Linked DNA regions of Daphnia pulex. The protein of the gene in region 1 purifies or fractionates together with the protein of each later gene. This does not show direct contact. Links are inferred from orthologs where the notes say so. Each region holds a gene or a part of one and is shown in the gene's direction. Other genes may lie near its edges.

Region 1 (6,352 bases):
GGCAAGAGCAACAGTCCAGTGAACGGCGGAAATTCTCTGTTGGCTCGACCCCGAGTTCCTTTTGGTGAAGTTAACCGTCCTTCGTTGGCTTCCCCTCGTCTTCAATTGCAACACAAACAAAGGCATGTTGTGCGAACCGAAATCCTTCAGCATCAACAGCGGTATTGCAACAAAAACGACTAATCTATTGTCCCTTTTATCTTCGAAAACAAAGAAAATTTCAACCCCGTTTGATACAAGTGTAGCTCGTGCACAATAAAATCAAATTTAATTCCATCATTTATATATTTCAACTATCGACAAAAAGTGATTCCTACACAAGTAGAGTCACAAGGTCTATATTTAAGACAATTTGAATAAAATTCCCTTGTCTCCCATTTCTGGATTAAATCCTTTGGCGAACTTGCAGCCCGGAGTCTAAAAAGAATTACCATAGTTATATTTTTGCACAAAGTAGTGTAACAAGTAATGATTCATTTACCTCATCCATTACAGCCGCGCGCACTTTGTTATCACCTGCGCCGATAACGATTTCGTTGCAATGGATCGGTGGCACGTTTAGATGAGCCATCAAGTAATGTTGAGAGTGGGTAAACCTGAGAAAGGTAAAATGGTATTGTAAGAAGGGAGCGTAATGCTTCAAGTTGAGAAAATTTACTCTTGACGACTGTTGTTCCAATCCCACTCGTTGATGCGCCTCCAGTCCTTCATCTTTTCATCATAGACGGTGTACTGATCGAAATCTATGCGTTCAATGTCCTCAACGACGATTTCGGGATCTGCCACTTTCGACCAATCGTAAACTAGAACTTCGGCATGGGTACTATTTCATATATCAATAAACGATTTGTTAAAATACGAAAACTCTTCTGGGCTTATAATAGAGAAATACCTGATATCCTTCAAATAGTCTTTCTTGTAAGAATCTACTAGGGCTTGGAGGTAAGCAGGAGTGGTAAGCATCGAGTCCTTTTCGTTGGGTAAGTTCCTGGCCTCAATTCGTCGACGTGTTTCATCAACAGGAACGTCCAGATAGATGACCAAATGAGGTCGCCACAGTGCAAACAGTGCATTGTTTCTCACTTGGTGGTAGAAGTTGTAAACTATATGGAAATGTTAATTTAATATTTTTAGCTGTTCTCTTCCATAACAAATAATAGGATACAGAGTTGAAAATCGTACCATTTTTGCTGATTACACCAGTTTCCGTCATGGCAGTCATGTAAGCAAGGTCACTGAACGGAGAACGATCCATGACGACTCCTTGTCCTGTATTCAGAATGTGAGCCAAAGCCTCCAAATGAAGTTTATAACGGAGGGAAAGCTTTGTTAGTTGGAAACGCGCAGCTTTGGAACCATTTCCCCGCATAGGGTCTTTCAAGAAATCGTTCTCATCATAACTCTTACAAGATTCTGGCAGTTTGTGATCTACTTGTCTTAGATCATAACCATATTTATTAATGTAGCAATCTGCTACATTTGGCGATGGAAAGTATGCCATATCCAATTCTTCAGCCAACTCTTTGGCTAGAGCCCTTTTCCCAGCAGCAGGTGGCCCTTCAACAACAATCAACTTTGAATTCTCATCTAATCGGCTGGTGGTGGGATCAAACAAAGCTCGTAAAAAGTTGTATCTCTTTTCCTTGTATGGGAATGGAGCTGGCTTTTTAACAGGGGGCAATCCTTGGCGCATTACTTTTCCAGAGATAGAACGCTGTCCTACTGTAATCACACATTGTTGTTGTTTCCTTGCTATGATGACAACACTTCCGCATAGCTTTGGAGAAGACACTCTGCTGAAGAAGACCATCTTGTATCGTTTTAAAGAAGCAAGTTATTCTTTACCAATCTGGTTAAACCCTGCAAACAATCAAAAACATTTAATATTTAACAAATTGCACTCCACATTTCTACTACAGCACATTAAATACAAACAAATTTAACTCTAATTTAATAATGAGTTGGAAGCAACGAAAACGAAAGTAGGCATGGACAGTTTGAAACTACCTCAAAGTTACGAAAATGCTATTAAATACTCAATTTGTACCGAAACAGTTAGTTTTTAAATTATATTAAGCAACCATAACATAATAATGAAAATAGTGTTTTTCTTTTACCAGACGGCCATGTAAAATTTTCTTTACCTTTCCTTCTGGACCGCCAACGTTGCCTTGCAGAAAGAACAATCTTAACAATGAATAAAAATATAATCAATATTTGTCCGATTGGCTAGAATAAAATTAAAATAAAATAAAGAAATGTGTAAATTTTAAAAATCTAATAATCTATACATTTTTGATTTGCTGTCATAACTTGGCAACTGAGTGAGTTTAGTTTGATATTCCAATATGGCGGCATCCATAACGCAAGTGTTCCGTGTCAACTCTTGTCGGCTATTGTACTGTAATCGTTTTTCCAAGGTCGCTTTCCCAGCATTCTCTACTCAGGCCACAAATCTTAAGGTGAATAATACTGAAGTTTCGCTATCGAATTTTGCATATCAATAACACGTAAATCTTGTACAATCTTAGAAAGGTAAAGGCCTGATTTTGGGAGGCTATTCTTCCAAGAAGACCGAAACCGACGTCGACTCTACAAAAGATTTCATTTGGACTCAGGCGGCTAAAAGTTTCAATGATCAAGTGGCCAATCGCTTAAACGATGCGTTGAACTGGTAAGCCCATCCAATAAGTCTTGATTCAATCAAAATTAGGTTTGATGTCAGACATATGTTGTGCATTCAGCAGCTAATCTGACCTGAAATTCTTTATAATGATAGAAACAAACAGAAAATTCTGACTTGTTTGTGATGTGTTTCAGGTCAGATCATCTGTAAATGTGACATACGAAAATTCAAAGCCTGAAGATGGCAGGCCGTGGGGTTAAGAGGGGTCCCCAGTCTCTTCTGTTTGGGGGTGTAAAGGACACGTATGAAGACAGAGATAGTGATCTTCTCTGCCCGGTCTGCTTGGATATGATGTCGGAACCTTACGTGACTACATGTGGGCACAGCTTTTGCCATGGATGTATTGTCAGAAGTCTGGAGTTAGCGAGCAAATGTCCCAAGTGCAGCGGTCCCCTCGACAGTAGTGGCCGAAACCCATCCGTTTTCCCCAACGTAACCCTCAACGCATTAATAACCAAACAGAAGAAGAAATTAGTCGAGAGTCAAGATGGAAATATTTTGATGAAAGACTTTACTACTCTGTTGGATACTCGGGATTGGCATCCATCAGAATTAGTTCGCATGCAAGAAGTTTTGCTTCGGAAACAATGTGATCTTGATGGAGAACGAAAACTGACCGAAGCCCAGCTACTTAACGAATTCCTCCAACAGCTCAAAACCAAGAAGAACAACGAGTTGAGAAATGTTCAACAAGAACTAGAGGTGCTTGACAAGGATTTAAATATGGCGCAAACCCTAAATCCTGGCATCGATTCTGCTGCAATTAAAGTGGAAAATTGTGAAGTCAACGAGACGGCCTTCAATTCATCCATCGCGTCCACACCGTTAAGCATCAGTCAACGTCGTGTAAGAATGCACCAACATTTCGAAGATTTAGAGGGGAAATACTGGGCACTTCGGAACAATCGTCTCGGTGGTGAGGAAGAAGAAAAGAAAAGTTTACTCGACTTTCAATCTAATTTGAACCAGTTAACGCGATGGAGTAGACTAAGGCCTTTGGCTAATTTGAGCTACGGAAGCGAACTCCTCAACACGGCACACATTGTCAGCTCGATCGAATTCGACCGAGATGCTGATTTTTTCGCCATCGCTGGTGTGACCAAACGCATCAAAGTGTACGACTACGCAGTGGTTGTACGGGATGCGGTTGATCTTCACTATCCTGTTATGGAGATGGTGGCGGGCTCGAAGATATCGTGCATATCTTGGAGTGCCTACCACAAATCGGTTCTGGCAAGCTCCGACTACGAAGGCAGCGTATCCGTTTGGGATGCGTCCGTCGGTACTCGTCTGAGGGTCTTTCAAGAGCACGAGAAACGCTGTTGGAGTGTCGATTTTAATCGCATGGACAGTCACTTGATGGCCAGTGGCAGCGACGATTCCCGAGTCAAAATCTGGAGCTTAAACGCTGAACACTCTGTGGCCACTTTGGAAGCTAAAGCCAATGTCTGTTGCGTCAAATTCAATCCGTACTCGCGTTATTGCTTAGCCTATGGCGCAGCCGATCATTGCGTCCATTACGTCGACCTACGTCAGCCCAAGGAGCCACTACGGGTCTTTAAAGGCCATCGCAAAGCCGTCTCTTACGTCAAGTTTCTTAGTGATCGCGAATTAGTGTCGGCCAGCACGGATAGCCAATTGAAATTGTGGACGGTTGAAGACAACGTTTCATGTCGATCTTTTCGCGGACACACAAACGAGAAGAACTTTGTGGGCCTTTCGACGACGGACGGCAGCCAAGACGATCGACGTGATTTGATTGCTTGCGGTTCGGAAAATAATGCCCTTTACCTCTACTCGAAGGGACTCAGCCAGCCTTTACTTCATTATCGTTTCGACGTTGTTAAAAGCGCTTTGCTATTGGACAAGGAGCGGGCCGAGCAAGAAGAGAGCGCCGAGTTTGTTTCTGCCGTTTGTTGGAAACCCGACTCCAACGTAATCGTCGCTGCCAACAGCCAGGGAACTATAAAAATTCTCGAACTGGTTTAGGGTGGTAATTTTATTGTCAATTCCCATCATCATCCATTTTGCGAATTTTCTATTTGGTTCTGGGTTGTCATTCCCCAATGACTTGAATGCTGTGTTCTGCCAAAACGTGATTCCCCTGTTGTGCCTAATCTTCATTTAAATTTTATCCTGCAAATACAGTTGTGAATTTCCTTTGACTATATTTTTCATTTTTTGTCGTTGTTATCCCCGTGTTTATTTCCCCTATCCCGTGTCCTCTTTCAATTCCAATCCCACAGGAGTGGAGTACCGAAGAAAGGCAAAGCTCGAGTGCTGTACGGACTAGATCGTGAGTTTCCGGCTGTAGCCGTCGTCAATTTGGGCCCAAATCCTTTGGATGATTCCACCATTTTCCAAAAAGAAAATATCTTGGAGGAGAGAGACACAGCCAGGGAGAATCTAAGATGCGGAATTGCAGGCACCTTATACTTGTCTAAAATCTTTTTTTTTTTTTCTTTTCTTAATGAATCGTATCTTGCAGCTGGTGTGAAGGCCTTGCAAGAAGTTGGAATTGAAATTGTTTCAGTCGACCCTTGTTCTGATGCCGAATGCGCTGCTGAAAGTGCCTCCCTGACCCGCTGGCAGTTTCAAGATTTGAAAAATGCCGCCAAACGTAAACCCGAACTCGATTTGGTATTGCACGGAAGCGATGAATATGGGTTAGCGAGAAAGAATTTAACGTAATTTTTCGACTTCGGCCTTAATTTATGTTTTGCTATTATTAAAGGGAGGCCCAGTGGGAGAGGGGTTTGACGAAAGCAGCTGGGCAGAACTTGGCCAGATGGTTGATGGAAATGCCCGCAAATCACATGACACCAACTATATTCGCTCGTCACGCAGTTGATTTATTGGGTCGTGCAGGAGGAGACGGAGTATCAATCAAAGTTGAAGCTCATGACGAAGCGTGGGCTTCCAACCAAGGAATGAATTCGTTTTTGGCAGTGGCTCAAGGATCTAGCGAGCCACCCGTTTTCCTTGAAATCACCTACAACAATCTACCAAGCAAAGAGAAGCCAATAGTCATCGTCGGTAATATCCTATTTCTTTTTTTTATATAGGATCATAGAAAGGCGACACTTATAACTTTTTTTTCGATGAATGGGGATAGGCAAAGGAATCACTTTTGATACCGGAGGTATCAGTATCAAACCTTCAGCCAATATGGATAAAATGCGTGGGGATATGGGCGGAGCTGCCTGCACTTTGGCCACCATTCTTACTGCTGCAAACCTCAGATTGCCTCTTCACCTTAAAGGTCTTTAGACGAATGACAAATTCTTTTCAAGCTGCTACAATTCTTATTTGATGTTTAGGATTAATTCCCCTAGCCGAGAACATGCCGGGTGGAAAGGCCATTAAACCAGGTGATGTAGTGAAAGCCATGAATGGCAAGACGATCCAAATTGATAACACGGATGCAGAGGGTCGACTTATCCTGGCTGATGCACTTGCTTATGCTCAACAAACATACCAACCCAATCTCGTCCTGGATATTGCCACATTGACGGGTACATTTTCAAAACATTTTCGTCGGCTAATCATGTTAAAACTGTTTGGTTTTGCTTCGTTGGTAGGTGCCATCAATGTTGCTCTTGGCAGCTCTGCGGCTGGGGTTTTCACTAATTCCAACGCCTTATGGCATCTCGTTCATCAGTCGTC
Region 2 (5,542 bases), on another chromosome or scaffold:
ATCTTCTCATTGAACTTGTGTGGTCGTGGACTGAAAACGGAAATACTTGGATTAGAACAATTTCAATTTAATGCCACCCAAAATTAAACTTACAAGAATTTCGGTGTCTGGCCCGGTTCTGTGACATATTCCCAGAAGGAGACGGAGCCGTCGGAACTAGTCGAAGCCAGGTAACGGACGGAACCTCTATCGGCGGGACAAAAGTTGATGGAAGTGATTGTACCTCCATGACCAGTCAACACTGCAATCTGCAAAAATATTGAACGATTACAATTGAAATGCGCTAAAAATGATCAATAAATTTATGCACTTACAGGTGCAGTAGTGCGAAGGCACCACACGCGGACAATTTTGTCACACGATCCGGCAGCCAGTAGCGTGTTGTCGCAACTGACAGCGAGATCGGCAATCTCAGCTGAGGCACCGCGTAAAGTAGCTAACAAGCGACCCGTAACAACACTCCATATTTTGATCAATAAATCATCAGCTCCCTGCAAGTAATTGATTTAATATTTAATAAAATTTATACTTCAATAATGAAGATATCCAACACACCGTAAAAATATATTGGCCGGTCCGATCAAAAAGGACGCAATAGACAGCTGAAAGGTGGCCGAGAGTGCGGCAAAACAGTTGAACACGGCTATAAAGTTTAGCGGGTGTTGCACTCTGTGTGTCAATAGCTCCCGTAAACTCACGACCCAACAACAAGGGCACTTTGCGATACAATAAAATAAAATCAAGTCATTATCCTTTAAAATTATAACAATAATAATCTATTTTACCATTATTAGGTGGGTGGGCGATGTCATGCGGAAACAACCGTGGTCTTTTGTTCTGACGAACAACATAATGCTCGCGATGGAGCTTCCTGATGATATCTGAATATAATAATTTAAAAAAACGTTAATTATCTGAAATTGCTTGATAAAAACTATTTGTTCTTTACCCTCTTTGCGACGGAGGATTGACTGTCGTCCGGCGCCCAATAATGAGTGAACACCTTGGACATTGGTCGGCACTTCTTTGTCTACCAAGGGACCTAATCGCCTACACAATTCCAACAAGTGGTTGGGACCAACATGTGAGAAACTTTGGCACTAAATAAGTGAATCAGGAAAAAAAAAAACATTAAAAACCTATAATTTAAAATGATTAAAATTTCACCGATTTCCGGCTTACATCCGCATAGATGTACACTATGGATATATTTAGCGTGTCTCGGGTATAGCTTGGCTATGGCTTTTAGTCTCGACCAATGAGAGTCGAGCTTTGATCATGAGAATATAGCCCGAGGGGCGTGTGCTCTCTCCTGTGCTCGCGAGTCTTTTCTCGTGCGCAGGGTCCGCCATGTTTCCCCTTTCGGGGGACAACAGAGAGAACCGTAACGGCGCAAAAAAGTATCTTCGTTCCGAGCTGAGCATTTCAGAATTAATTTCTCGAGAATCCCTCCCCCCCTCCTCTCTTACTTTCTCATTCGCTTTCTAGTTTGATGTTTCCCATAGAATAACCGTAGACAAGATTTGTTTTTCACGTCACCATGACTCAACTGAAACCACCACGTACTTGCGATTGACAATTCAACTTAAAAATGATGAATGAAAACTTACCACTTGGGCATAAGTTTGATCGTGTTCATTCCCGAGCCAATCGATCCTTTTCGGTAACAACTGAAAATGATAAAATGGAAAATGAATCTTAGAGTCGAAAAACGGGATCATTGATCGGTTCGGCGACAGATAATGGGACAAGAAACAAACCAATAAGATTTAAATAGAAACAAAACTAAAAATAGGCATCATTTCAGGTGTATGTAATGTTTTGGTGGATGGAAAAGCACGTGCAGTCCACGTTGCGACGCGGACTCGAACGGACGGACCCTTTACACTTGTCTGTATGTGAAAACATAGGCAAGGTCAAAGTATTGCTATGCACTCACCCCATGCATCTCCAACTCCCGTTGCAGCGCCTAGGTCCATCGGCGGATCACACGAACGAGACAAAAAGACGAGTCAGTTTAGCCAAACTCAATTCGATTCAAACAATCATAATGATGAAATATCACCTCAGAAGCATTTTGGCAAGGCCCATGGCTGAGTAATCGGGCGATCAAGAAGTAGAGTTCTGTGAGAAGGCGACCAAACAAGGGGAGGGCAAACAGAGAGTTTCACTCGCCATTACAAATATGTTCTACACTCTACATGTTTTCCAATCTTACCTGCTGTCACAGAAGAAGGTCCATCACTTTGTCTACTTTGATTTGCGTAGGGTTTGATGTCCATTTTGCATAAACTTAAACGAAAACTGAGAGAACCACACACACTTATACACACACACACAAGTTCGACATGTCTCGTTCCCCTTAGAACAGAACAGCCATTGGGTTCTTGTCTGCTACTGCTATACTCTCTCCCCGTACCCAGAGGCGATTCAATATGACAAGGCAATATCGGATGAATAACGAATTCACCCTATCCTTCAAACTCGACTATTACAATTGAAATATTTAAACGTACGTGATTGAATACAGCTCATTCCGCTACATAGTTCTAATGAGTCTTTATAGGAATTTATATAATTTTTTTACAAAAAAAAAGAAAAGAAAAACGGTTACAACGGCGGAGGGATACAATGTAGTATTAAACTCTTGCTGAGGTGGTCCTAATTCTTGTTTTTATTTTTCTCATTGAATGAGCGGAGGTGATGAAACATGAAATGAAAGTTACAGAACTTTTCTTTGACGTTTGAGAATTTTTACGTTAAAAATAAACTGTTAGACATTGTCATTTAACAAATTTTCAATCATGAAACGATCGGCTTCTGATGATGATGGAGCCGGAACAACAAAGAAACAATTCTTTTCTGGTAACGCGAAGAATGGGTCTCTTGTTTTTCCAAAGTATTTTGTTTAATGTATTTTTTGGCTCTGTAGGGTCTTTTCCAGGTCAAACTTCAACTACTGTCTATCACGTGGGGGAATTGCATAATGAAAAAGAGGTGAAAAGAGCAGGACCTTTTGTCATAGGGCCTAGACTGGGAAACTCTCCTGTCCGCAGCATTACACAATGTTTGGCAAGGAGATCAAAAACCGATGAATTTTACACACTCAAAGTGGGTTAGCAATAGCAATAGCGATATTTTATGTCCACAATTTTAAATAATTATTTTTTAGATGCTTATAATGAAAACCCTTAATGAAGAAACTCAGGATGAAAAACAGGGGAAAATGTTGCTGTTAACAGAATATAGTCTCTTGTCCCTTCTGCATGATCAACCTGGAGTCATCCATCACCATGGGTTTTTTAAAGTATGATGTCATCAATCAATCTAGTCTCCTCAAGTGTTAACACAACATTCAAATTAATTCAGGATTTGGCCTATGAGGAACAAGAGCTTCGAAATGGAACTGTAGTCATTACTGGGAAGAAAGTTAAGAGGCTAAATCTTGTTCTTGATTGCCTCTCACCCAATGACTTTTGTCCCCACTCCCACAACTATGTCAATCTCCAGCAGTATGTCATCAAGGAGAAAAAGTTGACTGAGCAAGAAAGCCTTTGGATATTTAGGGAAATTGTATCTGTTGTCAACAGCCTTCACCAGGTAGATATAGTGTTTTTAATATTTTTATCAAGAATTTCATTATTAAAATGAATCCGTTTGTATGTAATTATAGAGGAACATTGTCCACAGAGATTTGAAACTGGGGAATTTAGTGTTGAATCGCCAAAACCGTCGTATAACGCTCATCAATTTCTGTCTGGGAAAGCACCTAGCCAACGAGGAAGATCTGTTACGAGATCAGCGAGGATCTCCAGCTTACATTTCTCCAGACGTTTTAAGCGGCAAACCGTATTTGGGTATGTAACTTTTTCTTTCTTCTTGATAGACGTTTATTAAATTTACTCTTGGATACAGGAAAGCCTTCTGATATGTGGGCTCTTGGTGTAGTTTTGTTTACTATGCTCTATGGTCAGTTTCCATTCTACGATTCGGTGCCTCAGGAGCTCTTCCGAAAAATAAAAGCGGCCGACTTTACCATTCCAAGGTTTGATGAAATAAAATCTGAATTCTTAAAATAATTTTAAAAACCTAACTTGATGCAAATCTAGAGATGGCCGTGTTTCAGACAGTACAACTCGTCTGGTTCAAAAATTATTGAATCTGAATCCTCACCAAAGACTAAAGGCCCACCAAGTAGTCCATGCTCTAGATTCTACTATAGCCACAGGGAATCTTCCATCTTCATCACCTGAACGATCATTGTTACAGGTTTGTGTCAAACTCATAAAAATTTTCATTAAGTTAATGATCAATTTGATTACTTTTGGGCTGTAGGTTGTCCCCGATATTGATTCTGATCAACTAGTCGAAGAAATAGAGACCATAGCAGCCAACCTTCCTCGAGGGGTATCGGAATTTGAAAGTGTTTTGCAACGTCTTCATGTAAAAACAAAATATTCAGTTCTAATTAATAACGGAAACCAATATATATTTGATTTTCTAGGCAATTGAGGAGTCAACAGGTAGTCTTCTGGCATACCATTCAGTCACTGTTCCTGGATTAAGTCCATTTCAAGTGGTCAAAAAACATGGAAACTCTAGTGCTCATCATGCTCATTTAAATCTCCTCTCTTCACTCGGTCGCCAACAAGGATCCATTCGAGCTTTAAGTACCGAACAGATGAATCGTTATCGGCACTTGTTACCTCCACGGATGATGACTCCCCATCAACAATTCCATGAAGGAACCAGCGCCACCGCTGTCCAAAGAATAGCTTCGTTTTCTTCTTATGTCGCCCAGAGCCCGCCGTCCTCTTCCTCTTTACCTCAATCCGCGCAATCATTACGTAAGGAATCTCATTATAATAAATTGCAAGTAATTGTTCTAATATTGAGTTTTGTATTTTAAGGAGTGGTGAACCCTGCATTTTTCCCACCCAATTTTCTTACTCAACGATTGCAGCAACTGCAACAACAACAACAACATGCGCAACAACAGCCTCCGGCTCCGGCTCCGGCTCCTTTAGCTTCAATCAATGGCACTCGTCGAATCGCTATCGACTCTCCGATCTCTTCGTCATCTCGACAGGAAGACCCATCTGAAGAGCCGGATTGAAAGCTTATACATCGCTGTGATTCTAATTGCTCTAAATAATCCCGCCAAGCTTCATAGTCTTGATACAAAGCCAAACGTACGCTTGTTTTCTGGAGTGACCATTCCAGCTGAAAGTATTTTATAATATCATTTATAAATTTTCAATAAAACAAACTAGTGTGTAAACATTTTATTTTGGTACTTTTGTACCACAATAATCATTACTAATAGCCGTAGAAATTCTTGAAAGGTTTGTTTAGGGACCAAGACTTGTAAAAGTTCATATAACCGTTGGGGTTGGATGGGATTGGATTGGATGGAATTGGATTGGATGGGACGCATAATCCAGTTTTGGTGTTGTATAGATAACCGTCAGGACAGTGTGGAATTGCTATTCCTCCGGGTTGCGCTTCGTTTCTGCCAGGTGGACCAGGAGGGCCAGGAGCG

Evidence for each region. The genes of interacting proteins can lie anywhere in the genome.
Region 2: the proteins of E3 ubiquitin-protein ligase COP1-like (region 1) and serine/threonine-protein kinase 40-like purify together in Homo sapiens (affinity purification with mass spectrometry; 3 studies listed by BioGRID and IntAct, counting the BioPlex papers as one, with this or other methods). This does not show direct contact. The link is inferred for Daphnia pulex from reciprocal best matches to the Homo sapiens genes COP1 and STK40.

What each region holds. Positions count from the first base shown.
Region 1 is NC_060028.1:8,376,104-8,382,455, forward strand, and holds E3 ubiquitin-protein ligase COP1-like, read left to right. Parts: upstream 1-2,674; intron 2,675-2,820; 5' UTR 2,821-2,866; coding exon 2,867-4,675; 3' UTR 4,676-4,851; downstream 4,852-6,352. Other genes in the region: uncharacterized protein LOC124208543, read left to right, coding at 1-183; NADH dehydrogenase [ubiquinone] 1 alpha subcomplex subunit 10, mitochondrial-like, read right to left, coding at 343-417, 482-596, 659-823, 893-1,103, 1,183-1,810. UniProt on the Homo sapiens protein: E3 ubiquitin-protein ligase that mediates ubiquitination and subsequent proteasomal degradation of target proteins.
Region 2 is NC_060027.1:4,337,837-4,343,378, reverse strand, and holds serine/threonine-protein kinase 40-like, read left to right. Parts: upstream 1-2,631; 5' UTR 2,632-2,804; coding exon 2,805-2,865; intron 2,866-2,932; coding exon 2,933-3,111; intron 3,112-3,172; coding exon 3,173-3,307; intron 3,308-3,369; coding exon 3,370-3,600; intron 3,601-3,673; coding exon 3,674-3,857; intron 3,858-3,915; coding exon 3,916-4,045; intron 4,046-4,109; coding exon 4,110-4,269; intron 4,270-4,335; coding exon 4,336-4,443; intron 4,444-4,504; coding exon 4,505-4,847; intron 4,848-4,910; coding exon 4,911-5,116; 3' UTR 5,117-5,281; downstream 5,282-5,542. Other genes in the region: PH-interacting protein-like, read right to left, coding at 1-30, 94-248, 315-491, 556-716, 786-881, 950-1,100, 1,611-1,670, 1,940-1,969 and 2 more; cuticle collagen 1-like, read right to left, coding at 5,320-5,542. UniProt on the Homo sapiens protein: May be a negative regulator of NF-kappa-B and p53-mediated gene transcription.